3 linked regions of the Drosophila melanogaster genome follow. The protein of the gene in region 3 purifies or fractionates together with the protein of the main gene of each other region. This does not show direct contact. Each region holds a gene or a part of one and is shown on either strand. Other genes may lie near its edges.

What was found.
Region 1: the proteins of CG30344 (region 3) and tmod purify together in Drosophila melanogaster (affinity purification with mass spectrometry, with the first as the bait; one large-scale study listed by BioGRID). This does not show direct contact.
Region 2: the proteins of CG30344 (region 3) and pps purify together in Drosophila melanogaster (affinity purification with mass spectrometry, with the first as the bait; one large-scale study listed by BioGRID). This does not show direct contact.

Annotation. Positions count from the first base shown.
Region 1 is NT_033777.3:30,530,891-30,535,909, forward strand, and holds the start of tmod (tropomodulin), read left to right. Parts: upstream 1-1,946; 5' UTR 1,947-2,092; exon of another isoform or gene 2,093-2,205; 5' UTR 2,206-2,395; coding exon 2,396-2,617; intron 2,618-5,019.
Region 2 is NT_033777.3:12,411,831-12,419,877, reverse strand, and holds the start of pps (protein partner of snf), read right to left. Parts: upstream 6,051-8,047; 5' UTR 5,722-6,050; coding exon 5,592-5,721; intron 5,527-5,591; coding exon 5,122-5,526; intron 5,008-5,121; coding exon 3,290-5,007; intron 3,231-3,289; coding exon 2,749-3,230; intron 2,661-2,748; coding exon 2,486-2,660; intron 2,431-2,485; coding exon 1,903-2,430; intron 1,838-1,902; coding exon 1-1,837. Other genes in the region: Dip-C (dipeptidase C), read left to right, coding at 6,495-7,970.
Region 3 is NT_033778.4:9,143,571-9,149,134, reverse strand, and holds CG30344 (uncharacterized protein), read right to left. Parts: upstream 3,876-5,564; 5' UTR 3,549-3,875; coding exon 3,344-3,548; intron 3,276-3,343; coding exon 3,163-3,275; intron 2,490-3,162; coding exon 2,339-2,489; intron 2,273-2,338; coding exon 2,089-2,272; intron 2,021-2,088; coding exon 1,834-2,020; intron 1,773-1,833; coding exon 1,637-1,772; intron 1,586-1,636; coding exon 1,259-1,585; intron 1,197-1,258; coding exon 1,040-1,196; intron 983-1,039; coding exon 919-982; 3' UTR 623-918; downstream 1-622. Other genes in the region: CG30345 (uncharacterized protein), read right to left, coding at 1-69, 137-308; Prp38 (pre-mRNA processing factor 38), read right to left, coding at 4,015-5,007; shrb (shrub), read left to right, coding at 5,338-5,515.

The sequences.
Region 1 (5,019 bases), on a different chromosome or scaffold from region 3:
CATCATGTCGCTGCGTTTGCCGAGCTGAAAAGACATTTTCGAGAATTAATTTTAGAATATTCCGTCTTGCGTGTGCTTGGCGCTTTGTTTACACAGCGCTGCGGGGAAAACCGGGGGTCCGTTCGAAACACTTGTCTTTCATATATCTTGTGCAGTCCGCGATGCGATACAGGAAGTCCGCACATCGCTGTCAAAACTAAAGCCCCCAAATGCCAGCAATTGAAAGCGTTCGCTAATCAAAAATCTAAATCGGAATCAGCACAAAATCAGAAATCGGACAGAAGGCAGAAGGTGAAATCACTTGAGATGGGCATCTTCCGACAGATGCCCCTGCCACAAGGCACCCTGTACAGGCCCCGCTGGCTGTGATGCACTGCCTCCACTCGCACATCGAACGCTGGCCACGGCAAAGGAAAAAGGGAAAAAAACGAACGGAAAATAAAGGAAAAAAAAAGAAAAGCGCATGAAAAAGGAAAAGACGGCGTCAAATGCCGCCCGGCCAAATGGCCAGCCGGATCAGCCCAATGTATTCCACCCGATTCAGAGTTGTTTGCCCACAGAGGGTATCGATGAGATGTCTGGGCTTATTGGAAAAAAAATGTTGGAAAAAGGGAAATGCAACACGGGCTTATGGGGATAGTAAGTCCCTCTGATAGAGTGGACAAATTGGTTTGTAAATTAATTTTAAAATCTATCTAAATTCAAGTTTATAAGATATTTTTACTTCTTGAATAAACATTCTATAATTCTTATTGTAAAACTCTATTCTTACTATCAAAATCTCTTTTTTAGGTATTCCAAAGTCGGAAGATATCACTATCTTCATCCTTGGCTGCCTCTTTTTTCTGTCTATTGTTAAATCCACCCAAAATAGCTCCACGCACATTGACGAGAAGAGTGCGTGGGTCTTTGACGGGGAGTATGGAGAGTAGGGGGTATGCGGAGTAAGGGGAGTACAGACCATATGAGATGGCGAATGAGGAGTGTTGGCACTTCACGGCGGAGTTTCACATTCTGACGGGCCTCAGACGTCCGGCAGCCGCACTAATTGCATTCGCCTGGTCAAACGAAGAAATTGCAACAGGCGGACAATTAGCGAGCGAACTCATTCGCATTCAAATTTCACATTTGCTCAAAGAAAGAACAGAAATACTGCACTCAGAAAAATGGTTAACTCACTTCTTACTTCATTGCAGATATTTTGATATTTTATAGAACTCTGGAGTTCAATTTCGGAAGGATTAGGATACATGTGGGATCACAGCCTTGTACTTTTACTTTTTAACATACGAAATATTGTCAGATAGTTTCCTCTTTTTACCAAATAAAGCTTTCTAAATGTAAATCCAATTTGGTAGGATTTTCTCTCAGTGTAGAGGCACACAGTGTAGAAAAGATCGGAACGAAGGCAACAAAAAACTTTTGAAACGCGACGAAGATCAACGTTCAAAATTGAGCAGACGTCAGCAGCGGCAGCAGATCGGCAGAGAACTGAGAGTGAGAGTGGAGGAGAGAGTGTGGAGAATTGCTGGCGCTCTCCCGAGCGCTGGGGGTCTCGGGCCGTCCCGCTCGCACCTGCGGCTAACACATTGGGGGCCTCTGCCCCACTAGACCCTCCGGAACTCAGACCGTCTCGCTCTGCTCTCCGGCGTCGGTTCCGGTGGCAGACGGCAGAAGATTCTAACTAGAAGAATTAGAAGAAGCTAGGACGGAGGCAGCAAGTAGAAGACCCGTGATCGTGTAATTCGCCTCGTGTGCGTTCCGTTGTTCCGTAATTATTCCGGATTTGTTTTCGAAACAGGCTGAAGTGATGTGATGGGATTTCGATAGCTCCATCTTTCAACTTGTTTCGCTTTATCCGCCTTTTGTCACCACGGCTCTACGTTATTCCGTTGTCCCATTGTTCCGTTCTTCCGTAGTCCCATTGTTCCGTAATTCTCCGTTCTCCGTTGTTGTCGCGCCTTTCGTGGCCGCTGGTCGACGTTACGTTTTTACAGTTCGATAATCGAGCACTTCCCGAGAGGATCGAAGGCTCCAGGCATCTGCGTAAACCACGAAGGATCTACAGTACCTCTAAATATACCGCCCTTAGGTCGAAAACAAGTTACTAAAAAACCAGCGCGCCGTGAAATTCCTCTTGTTTATATAATAACCAGCGGCTGCCAAAAGCCCAGCGGAATATACAAAAAATATTCATTTTTCTAGCTCTGGTCGTTTGTATTTTTCAGGCTAAAAGAAAGAAAATAAGAAAGAAGAAAACCCAAGCAATTCTGCGTGTTATGTGTTATCGTTGTGATCAGTGATCCAGTGATCAAGTGAAAGTGAACACAAGAACGTGAGAGAAAGCCAAGTGAATCAGCTCGACTCCAATCGAAAAGGATATAAATCAGAGACAATGTCGGACATTGAGGATGTTTTCGGTGGCTCCGCCGAGGAGACCAAGCCCGAACCCGATGCCCAGAGCAAAACCAGCGTGGTCACCGAGCACACCGAGGAGGTGATTCCCGGCGAGACCGAGAAAATGGTAACGGAGACCATCGATGAGGATGGCGATGTCGTGGAGGAAACCACCGAAGTTACCCGCAAAACGGTGAAGCGCACCATGAAGATCACTGAGGTGAGTGAACTCTGACCCATGGATCCATCTAATAGCCGCCATTATCCATTAACTAACTTATTGTGCGTGTGCTGAGTACAAACATAATTCGAATAGCCATGAAAATCAATATGTATTCTGAATTTGAAAACCGTTCAAGAAGCTATAAAAATTCGGGAACTTGGGAAATTCTTAATGGAAACTATTTCCAAAAGCTTTAATGTTAAGTGCATATTCGCAATCAACTTAAAGAACAGTTCGTTAAAATTTATTAAGCATGGAAATTTTTATAAAAATATTTTCGATTCAAGTATTGTTTACCAAGCTTTTGGTGGGGGGATATATGCCGCAAAACAACATCTTGTTTTTGCATTGAATTTATATAAAAACATCGCATATTTTTGCGAAAGTAAATGACATTCCATTTTACATATTTCCGAAAATATTCTTACGGAACTACAAGTTTAAACCAAAGAATCCGCCCAAAACTGAATGATTTCCTCAATAGTTGGCCACCCCCGATCGTTTGGCTTATGAAAGACTATAAATCATTATTCTCATATTCTGAAGGGATCTTCTGCCGTACTGGTCTCCTCGCTTGTGAAATTGGCCAAAACATGGCGAACTCTGGCTATACATTATTTATACCAAGTGCCATTTCTCTATGTGCGTCTTAGCGAATTGTTTATACGGTCCCACGAATATTATAAATCTTCCCATACATTATACATCACACACACCGCGGCACAGATATAGACGGACATATAGGCGATTATATACACATATACATATGTATGTATATGTTCGGCCACACTTTCTATAGGCGACGTTGCCGGGGGAAAGCCAACAAAAAATACAAATTTTGCAGCTGTTTGATTTCGGCGCAAATTATCACAAAAGATTTCAAATGGCATGGCGTATAAAAAAAGCTGGGAATTAAATTATTATTAAGCAGAAATCACTTAAATACTCGATGCCGAGCTATGCCAAAAAATCCCCACACTCGAAGAGAAATGGCAAAAAAATTAAATGCAATAAATTCTGTGCCGCCAACAAATGCAGAGGCAAAAAAACAAGTATCAGACCAAAAAAAAAAAAAAACAAAAAAAACATCGAGAAGAAGGCGAAACAAAAAATAAATATTGAGGTTTCCGTGTCTTGCGGTCTGGCGCGCACTGGGCGAAAGTTGGGTGGTGCCGCATGGGGCGGGTGGTGCAAGTGGTGGGGCAGCAATTAATTGCCACAAATCGTTGCACAAAATTACAAATTGCATTTCCGGCTTGGCGCGGCGGCCACGCACTTCCACCCGTATTCCCCACTACCGCTACCCCACCCCAAACCCCGCAGAAAGTCTTCGATTTTCCCGCCGCTGTTTTACGACTGTCTGGCCCCCCTCGCCCCTCGCCGGGCGAAAAGCAAAACACCGCCCGTTTTTCTTTCGTCGAGTTTTATGGCAGCCAAATTAAATTTGCATTGCAATTTACTTCTTTTTGGGTCGGCCTCTCGGCCTTTTCTCGTTTTTCCGTTTTGCCGTTTTTATGGGCCCGAAATGGAAATGAAAACGCATGAGCTCAGCCAGCCGGAGTCCTGCGAATGGGGCAGGGATAAGGATGTGCTGCTGCCAGGGCATATGTTGCCATATACACAAAACAGGATCGTATGTGCCTCGCTCCGAGCAGCTTGCCGAACTAATTGCGCTGCCAAAGTCCGGTTTCCTTGCCGAAGCTCATGAACTGCTGAACTGCTGAACTGCCCAAGCCAGCTTTCCCCGCTCACTTTCTCCCGGCGGCATTTCCTGGGCGAAAGCGGCTAATGAGTCACGTACCGTTTTTGTCATTTTTATGCGCTTAACAGGTCAAAGTTCCAGCCGCAGGGATACGTGACCAAAGTCGAGTTTGAGTTGAAAATGCAAAATTAGTTAAATAAAGTCGGAGATACGCCGGGCACTTTCTCCACTCCCCATCCCCACTGCCTTTCGTTATCCTTAATTCGAGGCGAAGCGGAAAACTGTCATAAATTTCACAGTTGATTTCACCGTTGTTTCCTGATTTGATTAGCTCATTAAACGACGGTAATTTGTGCGGTGCGGGGTATGGTTCAAGCCTCTGTGTATTTGCTTATAAACTAAACAATAAATATTAAAGAGAATGACTAAATTGAATAAAATATTCATAGAATATTCATGATTGATTAGTTTCAACAAAATCGAACTCTCAATCTATTGTCACTGAAAATTCAACATCAAATACGCCCAATTTGCGATTATTAAATTATCTGATTATGCGCCATTTAATGCAAACATTATGGAAATGCACCACTATTTAATAAACACCCAAACGAGCGACTTTGCGGTCGGAAAGTTCGGCCATATTATTCCTGCCGACTGGAATGTAGTTAAGCAAATCTTTGCTCAGCTCCGCCGT
Region 2 (8,047 bases), on a different chromosome or scaffold from region 3:
GCAGCGTGTTGGGTCTTTGCGCTTCTTCGTAGAAGGGAACTGGCTCCGCGGTCTGCAGCGCTGGTGGCAACTTATCGCCGCTACCCAAGGGGAATATGTAAAAGTCGCGTATCTGATCCGAGTCCACGCCCAGGACGCCCAGACGCTGACGCGAGTCCAGGTATTCGAAGAAGAGATCAAACTTATACGTTTCGCTGGGCGAGGCGGGGAATATGTTCACAATGACCACTTCCTTTGTGGGACTCTTCTTTAGCTTCTTGATATATTCCCAGACATTAACGCGGGTTATGCGACCGATTACGTCCATCTGACTTGGCATCAGGTTACCCAATTGATGGCAGTTACCCTGCACGGGGTACATGACGATTTCGAAGTCGGCCAAATCGATCATCTTGAGAGTACCGGACCACAGTGAACTCGTCGTCAGGCCGTGCAAGTAGCGGGAGTAGTTGTCCATTGGCTCAGGTGCCTTCAAAGAACTCGGAAGCGTTGGAAGTGGCTTGGGTGACGGCTTTGGTTTGCCTAGATTCGCCGCCTGCTCGACTGTTTTCTCCGATTCCAGAATTTGATCAACCAAGTTGTAAGCACTCGCCTCGGTTTTCTTTTCCGCCGTCTTTTTGGGTACCGGCGATTGGTCGTTTTCGTCCCTCTTCTTGGGCAAGGGTGATGGAACGATCTCATCCCTTTCCCGGCTCTGTTTCTCACGCGATCTATGCTCACGCTCCCCGCTGCCTGGCTGCTCTCCTCCTTCGTTGTGCTGCCTGCGATGGCGCTTATCGACGCTTCGACCCCGACTATTGGAACGACTTCGACTGCGCTTTCGATGATGATGCTTGTGGCTCTTGTGTCGCTTTTCCTTCGATGAACCCGCCTTTTCCCTGGACGTGGAACGTTCCAGTGTGGAGGTAGACGGCTCACTGACCAGCGACGTCTGTTTTGTGTCCGCCATAGATGATGCTTCACTAACGTTCTCTTCGGGCAGCGTAACATCCACTTTGGTGGCGATTACCTCCTCTCCCTTGTGTGTTTTCACCACATAGTTTTGGGCACATGCCAACAAGTCCAGCTCCGATTTCTTGATCATATCCAACTGGTGACGGTTTTCCTCCTCCCGCCACTTGGCCAACTCTTGGCTGGCCAGCTGTTCCGGCGTCATCCGCACCAACTGCCTGGGCTCCACTTGCTTGGCACAAATCTTTTCGAAAAGCGTTCGGTTCTTGCGATCCTTTATGTTGAACATAAGCGATCGATACTTGGCCTTGTACTTGGCTCCCACGTCTCGGCCAAACGAGTTGAACATTTCCAGCTCCACGTTCTTGACAAACTGATCCACCTCAAGTACGGTCGGCCACTGAGTCGTTGGCTGGCCAGAGTTCTCCTCGGCAGCCTGAGCTTCTTTGATTCGCGCTAGTAGTTGCTCCCTGAGTGATCGCCGGATGCCGATTCGAACCGGCTCGGGTTTGCCCGCTGCGATACGATTAGGGGTTGGCGCCTGTACTGTAGGTGTTGTCTTCTCTTTATCCTTTTTGGCCAAAGGACGCACGGAAGAGATTCCAAGTTGGTGGCTTGCCTGAACTGTGGTGTTTTGGGGATGGGACAATTTGGCAGGACCTTCAGGTGGCTTTTTTGCAACTCCTAGCACGGCGGGTTCTGAAGTTGAGGTGGCGGCTTCCGGTGCCCCTTTCAGCAAACGCTTCTCTGCGTCGGCTGACTGAACGGTTCCTGAGGGCAGCACCTCGAAGGAGGGATTCTCCTGAAGCCATTTCCGAAACTGATGTGCAGAAGGGGCCATGTGCCCGGTGATAACCCGACCACTTTTACGCTCAAACACATTAATCTGCAAAGCAAAGTGTGCACATTATTTGTTGTATAGTTCTAATTAAATTAACCTTTATTGCATACCCGTTCCACTTTTGACACAGTGTCCGCTTGCCTCAGCACGTCCTCAAACAAGTCCTTCTTCTTGTTCTTTTTGGCATCGAAGGAGTTGTTCAGCAAAGACTGAGCACCGGCATTCTGTGGCAATGGGCCTTTGGTAGCAGCATGTGCTTGAATTGCACTTTGGGCATACTTCCGGATGCACTCTTCGCCACAATAGACGGAAGAGGTGCTCGCCGGTCGCTTGCAGACCACACATAACGTCTCCGAAATTCGTTTGCCAGGTGATGGGCCCAGTCTGATAAAGTTCAGCTGCTGCTGCTGCTGGTGAGAGATTGCACCGGTTGGGAACTTTTTGGCCGGCTTTGCCATTGGAATACGCATGGGGGAACTGGCTACAGTTAAGACCACCGGTAGTGTTCTTCTGGGAGCCGAAGGAGCCGCGACCTGAACAATTTCTGCTGTCGTAGTTAGTACTTTGGTTTCACTCGGCCTCTGCTCAGGTTGAGTGGTTGGTCTGGTGACCAACATGTCTGTTATTCGTGGTTGGCTCTACAAAGATAACGAATCAATAAAAGGTAACTTTATGTCTATTGTATGACTTTACCCTCTCCTCCTGCCTTTTAACGCATTTGGGGCACTTCCAGTCGATGCCCTTGTTTTCCATATCTGTGCCCATCGCCTTGGTCACCCCCACGCATGTGCCGTGGAACCAATCCTCGCACAAATCGCAGCAGATCATGAAACGATTGTTGTGTGGCTGACGACAAATGCACCAGAGCCTAAACCAAAAAAAAAAAAAAAAAAACAAAAAAGGTTTTCAACAAACGCACAGATTTGCATCTATGAAATATCCAACTATAATCTTACTTGTTGGGGTCATCGTCATCCTCCTGAGACTCTGAAGCGTCGGGATCATTGTTCTGACTTGCATCAAGCTTCTTTGATCTTCTGGGTGCCGTTGAACGTCTGGCCATCGATGGCTCTCTAGGATTGGGTCGTTTCGGCCCACTTCCCGGCTGGCTGTCATTGCTCAGGCTGCTGGTATTGAGCGGCTGATTGATGCTCGCATCCAACGAAGATTCACCAAACGACAGGTTGCCTGCATCACTGGAACTGGTCGCAGCCATGCCCGGAGCTGAAGGAAACTGTGCTCGTCGCTTGGCCCGCGTGGTGGGGGCTTCAATGGGAGGCAGGTATATGACCCGACCGTAGCCGCGCACAACCTTCGCGGAGGTGGGCGGAGTGCTTGCTGCCACGCTCCTCGAGGGTGTACTGCAGGCAATCGGCAATGAGGTCATCGATTGTGCGGGCTCCGTAAGACTTGCATTCGGCAGTAGGTTCGTGTGTGCCTGTAAAGGAGCAATGCAGTTAGCTAGCAAAATCAATAACCAGGATATTCTACACTTGCCTGTACTTGCGGCACGTCTACGGGCTCAATGGACGTAGGCATAGATACGATGGCGTCCAGGGTTCCGGGCTCTGTACTAGCCAATACTTGCTTAACCACCTCGGCCTCAAACTGTTTGTCCTCCTCGATGAGACCGACCACGTGCTGGAGAAAATCAGCTGTAATCTCATCCTCATTCGCCGTATCCATTATATTATTCGGATCGGCTGCAGCTGCATTTCCCACTCCCTGCATCTCGGGAGCTGGAAAAATATTCGTAGGCAAGGACACTGGTGGCGGATCTAGATCCGCCGCTGTACTCTCCAGCATCTTAACCAGTTTCGGTATATCCTCGTCCGCATTTACTACCGGCTGCTCCACAAGCGTGGACTTAAGTAGCTCGTCCTGCACAATCGAGTTGATCAGATCGAGCTGCTTGTCATTTTCTGCTGCCAGCTCGGAGGAACTCTGGTGCGTCTCGATTACTATTTGGGCGGGCAGTTTATGCGACTGAGCTGTGTCCACGCCGATGGGCATGAAGCCCTTGGATGGGGTATGTGCCTGAGCAGGAACCGGAACCACAATTGGCGACATCTGCTGATTGTAGCTCGATCTCGGCGTGCTTGGCGACATGACGGCCCGGTGTCGGAGTGGAACTGGCGAAGATTTTGTGGCTGCATTGTTGTCCTCACCCAGCAAAGTGTTGAGATTGGTAAACACTCCTTTGGGACTGGCCATATTCTTGTTGATAATAATCTCTTTAACTTCCTGCGGCGAGTTTACGATCCTTCCCAATTGCACGGCAGGCATACGACGAACATTGGAATTGGCCGGTGTCGTTGGCAGTGGAGGTCTCTTCACAGGCAGCGATTGATGTGTGGGCCGGATTTTGAGAAACGATGTGCTTGGAAGACCTCTGCCTAGGGCAAACACTGCGGGCACTGATTTTGTGGCAGGCATCTGGATTATTTGCCCAATTTGCGGCGCCTTCGGCTCCAAAACTTCCTTGCGTTTCTTCAGCTCGGGGAAGTGCTGCGGCGTTGTGGGTGGCGGAGGCAGCGGCTTCATTGGTTTGCTGGGAGTCTGCCTAACCACCTTTCTAACCCGCTTCCTCTTATTCGGATTACGTCTATTGCTATGCCTCATATCGAAGTCCATGTCACTGTCCCTGTCGTTGTCCGATTCCTGGAACTCATCGCTCTCCTCACTCATTTCCTCCGAATCATAGGCCTTGTCGGCATTTTCCTCTTCGGCGGAATCCGAGCTTTGGGCGTCATCATCATCTTCGATGTATTCCTGCACAGGCGGAGCAATCACTTTGACTGGAGCACGAGTGGGCCTCAGCCTGGCATTGACCGAATTGTTCGCGATAATCTCTGGCTTCTGTCTTGGCAGTGGCGAATGGATGGGCTTGCGGATCAGCTGCACTTTCGGTTGCAGCTGCGCTGCCTGCTGAACTTGGTGGGGCTTGACTGGCAGTCTCTGGACCTTGACCTGCACCGGGCTTAAGGGTATGGCCTGGACTCGTTTTTTGGCATTGATTAGCTTGACACTGCCCGGTGCCTGCATTATGATTTTGCGGCTTTGGGCCTGCATTTCCATGGCCATCTTCTCATCGCGCTTGTGGTTCTTCAGCTGCTCTGGCGAGGTAAACGGTGTGTAGTTGTGGTCATTTCGAATAACTTCCATAAGAGCGTCTGTCTCCGCAGTCCTTTTGTAGACGGAAACTCCGGCAAGCTCTGTAAATAGAATACAAATTAGTTGAAAGCTAAAGTTCGTTTACTTTCGTTGTGCTCGAAATAATGATGTTGTTTTGCTTTATCATTTGGACCACATCGATGTACGTTATTTACTCAGTGCATTTTTCACAACCATATCAGCCGTGTTGTCCGCATAAAACTGCTCCACTCGCAAACCCACAATTTGTGGACGCTCCTTGGGTTTGCGTCGCTTTCGCTTTTTGATGGCCTTGGGCTTTCGGCCAACTCGCTTGCGTGTGCGCGGGGCATCGGCTTCCGTCTCCGTGGAGTCGCTATTGTTGTCGTCACCGGTGTTATGGTTCTCCTCGTCGTGTTCATCCATCTCACTGGCATTATCGCCACCACTTTGGCTGCCATTGTCACTGTCCAGCTCCGAGTCGGTGGCAGTTTCCATAAAGTTCGCCAGCTCCTCCAGCCGTTCGTCTTCCTCTTGGTCCACCATGCTCGGCGTGGGCGATGTAATCCGCACCACGCTAATGGTGGAAATCGATTTTTCCTCTGCAACAAGCCCATGTCAGTGTGGGGAGCAATGAGCGTGTGTCAGGCCTATTGGACCCACTTACCCATGATGTTCCCAATCGCACGCTCGTCGAAGGAGATTCCGCTCTTGCTGTAGACCACAACCAGATTGGAGTCGGCTTCGGCTGCCGCCGGCCGGGCGCTGGGCGCCTCCGTAAACACCGAACTGGACATGACGCCAACTGCTCGTGATCCCCGCTAGCGGCGCATTGGAGTCGGCGGCCCACACAGCGTGTACTTAATTAGCTTGGAACAGAACAACGACTCATTTGTTGTTGCATCCGCCGCGTTGTGACGCCGACATTGAAATTGGATAGTAGGTGGAAAACGGTCACTGGGCTGCGTTCGCCCTATACTTAATACTGGTGATGCTCTGCTGGCTGCGCCCACAAGCTGGCTGTTATATTGTTGAGATTCGAGAGCTTAATCCGTTGCTGTTTCGCTTTAAAATGCAAATTTTTCTCAATTATGAAAATAAAATTTGCAAAAAAAGCCACTTCCAGTGTGACCAGACTTGGGAATGATGCCGATGCTGTAGGTTATCGATAGTTTCTGTGCCTCGCTCTGCGGAACTAGTTTCAATTGCTAGCTCATTTGAACAAAATGTTAATCTGTGTTTATTTAGGGAAATCCTTTATTTTCAAGGTCGGCTGCCAAAAAGGAAAACCGTATGATAAATAAATGAATTGAGCTAATTAAAAATATTAAAGAATATATTTAAAAAAATAAAATTCCCGATCGATGAATTGTAATTTAAGCTTGTTTTTTTTCGCGTTCAGTTCTCGGTCATACTTTTGCGAAAACAGAAAACAAAAAACACTGATAAAACCCACATAATTTACTGCCTTTGTTAGCCCGGTTATTGGCTATTATCAGCTAATCTCACTTGCTCGAGCACTCATTGTTGTCCAGAGCGCCAGTTAAACTTTGTCCTCCGTCGCAACACCATGGCCGCCTTTCAGATGGGATCGGGTTACGCAGTGCCCATGACCCTCTTCCGGAACAACAGGGATCGTGCTGGCAAGGCCATCCTTAAGGAGCTGCTGCCGGGCCTCAAGTTCAACGACGGCAACCTGCTGGTGCTCCTCGAGGGCGGCAAGGACCAGAGCCTGTACAACACCGACGTGGACTACGTTTTCCGGCAGGAGTCCTATTTCCAGTACTTGTTCGGTGTCAAGGAGCCGGGCTGCTACGGCATCCTAACCATTGATGTGAAAACTGGTGCACAGAAAAGTGTTCTCTTTGTTCCTCGCTTTCCCGATGAGTACGGCACCTGGATGGGCGAACTGCTTGGGCTGCAGGAGTTCAAGGCCATGTACGAGGTGGACGAGGTGTTTTATGTTGACGAAATGAGTGTTTATCTGGAGGGGGCGTCGCCCAAGCTGATACTCACATTGAGTGGCACCAACAGCGATAGCGGGCTCACCCTTCAGCCGCCCGACTTTGCTGGCAAGGAGAAGTATGTGACTGACTGCAATCTGCTGTATCCAATTCTCTCTGAGTGCCGAGTGATCAAGTCACCCGAAGAGATCGAGGTGCTGCGCTACGTGGCCAAGGTATCCTCGGACGCGCACATCAAGGTGATGCGGTTTATGCGTCCCGGTAGAATGGAATTTGAGGGCGAATCCCTGTTCCTGCACCACGCCTACTCCGTGGGCGGCTGCCGGCATGCCTCCTACACCTGCATATGCGGCAGCGGAACGAACTCGTCGATCTTGCACTATGGACACGCGGGCGCACCCAACAGCAAGCCCGTCCAGGATGGTGATCTCTGCCTGTTCGATATGGGAGCCAACTATTGTGGCTATGCGGCCGACATAACCTGCACATTCCCGGCCAATGGAAAGTTCACCGACGACCAGAAGTTCATCTACAATGCCGTGCTGGATGCCCGCAATGCGGTCACAGAGTCAGCCCGTGACGGAGTCTCCTGGGTGGACATGCACAAGCTGGCGGGCAGGGTGTTGCTGCAGCGCCTGAAGGAGGGCGGCATGCTCAAGGGCGATGTGGAGGAGATGCTCGAGGCAGGTGTTTCGGGCGTGTTCCAGCCACATGGCCTGGGCCACTTGATCGGTCTGGATGTGCACGACGTGGGCGGCTATCTGCCCAAGGAGCCCAAGCGCCCCAGTGAACCGTGGCTGAGCAAGCTGCGCTTTGCCCGCATCCTTAAGGCCGGCATGTATGTCACAATCGAACCCGGCTGCTACTTCATCAACTGGCTGATGGACCGCGCTCTGGCCGATCCGAACATTGCTAAATTCATTAACGCAGAGATGTTCAATCGCTTCCGGAATTTCGGAGGTGTGCGCATCGAGGACGATGTGCTCATCACGAAGACTGGCGTGGAGAACTTTGCGATTGTGCCGCGAACGGTGGAGGACATCGAGGCAACCATGACCTGTAAATATGATTCGCCGGTTTAGAGCTTTTAAACTATATTCCACGCGTAAACATATGTAATATAATCTGTATCATAATCAAATTATGGAATACCCAATAA
Region 3 (5,564 bases):
ATTCGGTAGCATTGTATTTCATGACCGTGACACAGGTCTGGTAGAGTATCTGGTTCTGGTAAACGGCATCTGATGTAAACAATCTGATTTATAAACGCCCCCACAACACAGTAAACACATACATGTATGTACACACCTGTTAGGAATCTGCCAAAGAAAACCAGAAACACGGCGGGCTCTAAAATAAGCGAGCGGGGTCGTTTTAGCCAGCTAGAGAATGTCCTATTGCTGGGTGGCGGCGACCGCACTTCGATGTCCAGCGGTTCATCATCAGCGCCAATAATTGGCTCCTCATCATCTCTCGGCATTTTGTGGTTCAGTAAAGGTCGCGGTGATCGCAGCAATTATCGTGTAGACAAAGGAATTAACGATTCATTCAGCCAAGCAATATATCGTAGCGGGAACTGAGTTAAACATCTGTGCGCGCCGAACTCGAGTGATAGACTAACTGGAGGGAGCAGCTGAAATAGACGACGTAAACAAACAAAGCAAGCGATTGCCAATTTGAGCAAACCAAAGCGTTTGCTGCGCCCTATCTGCGCACGAACGCTCGAGCGGCTCCCTCTCGAGAAACCTCACATCGCGACACACAATTCCCATTCGATTTATGCTCAAAGATATTGAATGCTCGATGTATTCACACTTTATTGTCACACTGCAAACAGTTAAATCTTTTGTTCTTAACTTTACAATGCTTGCACATGCAAAACACAGTCCAAATAGCAGATATAGTATATATATACATATACACTGATCAAAATCATAATAATACTTGCAAAAATATACAAGGAGTACAAACACTAGATTAATTTACACAAATAGTTTCTAATCTTTTAAAACGAGAGCTCTTCGCAGCGCCTGCAGAAGGAATTTAACTTATGAGATACATTCAGCTAAATCGGTGCTCTGGAGAGTTTGTTAGCTGCCAATGGCCTGGTAGACACTGCTACTACCCATCGACTTCTGGATGCCGAAGATCACGCTGTATTGAAAAGTATTCGCTTTAAACTGGACTTGAACTGTGCTTGGTAGGACTTACGCTATCAGAATGTAACACACAAAGTAGAGAGCGGCGCTAATAAAGTTGAAAGCTCCGGGATAATTTTCCAAAGTTGCCTTGTAGACGGTTGTGTACAGAGGTGCAGCGCCCAGTGGCGAAACCGATTCCATGGAGGTGGTCAGAGCAAAGATCTTGCCTAAATTATTTCATATGGTTTTAGTTAATGGTATTTGCAGGCTAAACACTTTGGGTACGTACCAACTTCAGTCGCGGGTGCAACGTGCGAGAGAATCGCGCGGCACATAGGTCCCATGACGCCACGCATCATACCCAGCGTCATGCCCAGATACAGCTCTTGCCAGTAGACTGCTGTGGCTCGAACCGTGCTCTCCAGAACACAGCAAGCCAGGGAGAGCATTGCCATGGTTACGATAGACATCTTTAGAACGCGGCGCAATACCAACATGCCAACGATGCTGCCCACAATCTGGATCACGATGCGGGATGCGTTGAATAGACTGAAGTCCTTAATGGTCCAGTTGAATTTATCCTGCACGAACATGTAATTTACAGTGCTCTCTCCCTCTGAAATCATTATAAATTAACTCATATAATCTTAAGTTTGAATTATGTTACCCATGTCGAAAATGGCTATCGTAAGGGCAATCATTGTAAGCCAGATGATTGTGCGATCAAAGTTGGGGCGCCTCTTAAAGCAGGTGCGAATCAGGTCCGTGACCAAATCGAAACGGAAGAACTCACGGACTCGCGACTAAAAATGAGGGAAGGAGTGTTGAGATATTCGTTTCTTCTTAGCTATAGAAATTACTTACTCCGGTGTGAATGTCACCTGGATTTAGGCTTTCAGGTACAAACAGAAGCACGTACATCAAGGCAAACATCATCAGGCTACCAGCAATGGAAAACAACACCAGAGCATTTGTGGCAGCATAGATATAACCGCTGGCCACATTGCCCACCATTATGCCAGCACAGAGGGAGGCTTCATTGAGGACCATTCTTTCAAATAATATATCAAAATGAAATGGCATTCTTTGGATTAATAAATCAAGACTACCCATACTCACCTCAGAGCCTTCTTTCGCTCCTTGGCCACATCGGATATGTAGCAATAGATTCCAGTAATCAAGGCGCAAGTTCCGCCGCTTACGACGGAAGGAACCGAGGAAAGGAGGAACCACCATGGACTTATATTCGTGGACCTCGTTATGTAAGTGATTACTATCAGTATGAGTGCGCCAGTGAGGTAGCCTTTAAATACAATAAGAGTCATTTGTACAAGATGCAATTAAGATGTCCTGACTGATGATTATATACCCGTAAAAGTTGTCAGCAGGATTGGCCGCCTTCCGAACTTGTCGGACCAGGGACCCAGGAACAGACTCGCGAAGGCAGGAATAATGCTCTCTAGCAGAGAGGTTGTCATCATAATATTTGCAGAATACGTCTGTACTATCACCTCGACTTCCTGAAAAAACAGAAGTTCACTTTAGTAAACTGCACAACTGTACAACTGTGGATGAGTCAATGTGCCATATCTCGTACGTATAATTATAATTTTAACGCTTTCCTAGTAAATACTTCGATACTGCTTCGAAATGCAGTAACAAAGGATTTTGCTTACTTCTATTCCGGCCGTTGATAAGCCTCGACTGGCGTTCTAATTACCTTATCTCTAGCCTCCAAACAATGGCAGTTTTGCATTAGGTTGAGACGATTTGCTAATTTGATTTTACTTTGTCACGTCGGATGCTGATATAGTAAGATATACTAAGTAGGTCACGTCTTGGAAGAATATCGGCGAGCCAAATGCGAAATACATTGTTCTATACAGCAAAGGTCATAATAGTAGCAATTACTCGTAAAACAAGTTAATATTGTGATACATTAATTGTGGTTTTAAAATTGTTCAGCAGTTTTTGTAACTTAAACTTCAGTTTTTGTTTACAGTTACTGGATAAATTTGTTTAAAATTGCCATTTTCCTCATCGCCATAAAATCACAACACGAAACGCCCAGCAAAGCAGCAAAAATAATTTGCACAGAGATAAAAACCAGGCAACGAGAACAGAAACTACACAAAGTACAGATATCAAATTGTACATGATGTGTATACTATAAGGGTCAAATTAAATACTTACTTTATCCGCGTCCGATCCGCGATCAATGCCCAGCAGCGGTTCACATTGCGTGGCATTGAATTTCTCGATGGTGATGCAGGTTTGGTAGAGAATTTGGTTCTGATAAACCGCCCCTAAAACGCACACAAAGTTAATTCAATGATGCAATCCAATCGGTTTTACTGCCCTATAGCCATTATACCAATTAAATTTCTGGCGAAGAAGATTAAAAAAACTGCGGGCTCCAGGATGAACCAGCGATAGCTGCTGTAGTCATGAGGCGGCGGTACCGGAGGCGGGTCCACCTGCTCACTGCTGGCCGCAGATGATGCGTCCAGTATGCGTGGTGCCGAATCTTCGCCAGTCTCCACATCGGCCACCAAAGCCTCCGTATCAGAGCGAGGCATACTGCCGTTCCGTTCCGTTCCTACTTGCTCGCTATCGAGAACGGAACTCGTGGATGCGTCTGGCTTACACCAGTCTACCGGAGATAATGGAATTTACAATTCATTCACCAGAACGCTGCGCAGTTCCCTGAAAGTCTTCCAAACGCGACGGAGAGTTTTCAGATACTAAAGCTTCAGCTGCTTTACTGCTGATTAACGTGGATTTATTGTTGCTTAAATCCCTGGTACGTGTATTATTTTCACAAGTACAGCTGGCTGGATTCTCCCGCAGTTAACGTTACTCTATTCGAAACTTTCTAAATGCAAGCAGCAACAGCTGATTGACTTCTTCTTCTTCTGTGTTATTGTTTTGATTTCGATTTTCGATTCTTAGTGCTAGGGATGCCAACTTGCGGCGAATTGAGAGTTTGTGGTTTAAATTTTCTGACACTTTTTACTGGTTAATTAATTCAATTTATTTATAATTTTAGTAGCGTCGTCGGTCACGCTCTCCTCGCGAGTCCCGTTCCCGCTGGTCGTGACGGCCACGGTCACGTTCTCGCTCTCGTTCCCTATCCCGGCGATCTCTGTCGCCGTCCCTCTCGCGCTCCCTGATACTGTCGCGATCTTGGCGCTCTCGTTCGCGATCGTGGCGTCCATTGTTTTGCCGACGGTCATAGTCCTCGTTGTGGGTGTCCCGATTGCGCACCCTATTTCGCTGGCGGTCGTAGTCTTCCAGTTCGTCGTAGTAATCCCGGGAACGGGCGCTGTTGCCCTGCCCAGATCTTCGCTCGCGCTCCCGACTGCGGGACCTTGACTTGGAGCGAACTCTCCGTGGTCGTCTCACTGCTGTCGAATTCTCCTTAGGCCGGTTGGTCTCGTCTGCCTTCTCCTCGTCGCTGGGCAGTTCGTCGTCCAAGTCCTCATCCAGCACTGACACCTTGGGCTCGATTTCGTTGTTTTCCTCGAGAATGGAGCGCTTCTGGATGCGGGGCAGTATAATGTCGCAGACACGGTCGTTGCGCAGCAGTTCGTCAATGTACTCATCCATGTAGACAATCTCGAACTGGCCGGCGCGATTCTGGCGGCGCAGCTTTCGATTGTCTATGTACAACGGCTCCAGGTACTTGTAGCAGTCCAGGGCAGCTCCTGTGAGCCGTAGATAGAAGGCTCCCAATGCTCGAACGTACTTGAACTCCTCGTTCTTGATAAACTCCACTACGATGTCCTTTTCCGGCTGAATCTGCAGCATCTTGAGTGTGAGGCAGAGGAACTGGGTGGGCTTGATGTTGCCGCCGTAGACGCCTCCGACGAATCGCAGCTCCATTGCCTTGTCCACCAGAAGCTCCGCAGTGAGAGCAAAGCATTGCTCCTTCCAGTACTTAGAGTCGTATATCCTCGAACGGATGATCTTCTCGATGAGGTACTGCGGATTGGTGCCGTGCACGTTTTTGGCCTCCTTCACCGTGCGGTTGGCCATTTTCAGTTGAACCCTTGTTCCTTGTCAATCGTAACTCAAATAGGACTTTTCAATCCAGAAATTCGGGTATCTATTGGCAGCAGTGCAAAATGTGAAAATGCACCGAATATATTTATTTATTTTTCGGCGTTTGCTAACCAGAGTGGCCAGCTGCGTAAGGGAGAAATATGCCACTCCGCCAAGCGCATACACAAAGGCGATAACGATAGGGGACGGCAATCGGTATCGGGTGACGCATACGAACAACAGCTCCCAGACAACCAAGAAACGCAATAGCAGAAAAAAACTCACTTGTTCGCTAAATTCGGGTGAAAAAACAGATCAGCCAGGATGAGTTTCTTCGGGAAGATGTTCGGCGGCAAGAAGGAAGTGGCCCCCACCACCGGCGAGGCGATACAGAAGCTGCGCGAGACGGAGAACATGCTTATCAAAAAGCAGGAGTTCCTGGAGGCCAAGATCGAGGACGAACTGAATATAGCCCGCAAGAATGCGTCTAAAAACAAAAGAGGTATGAGAGGAGTGCGCCGAGGTCCTTGGCTTCCTAGTTGGTCACTCAA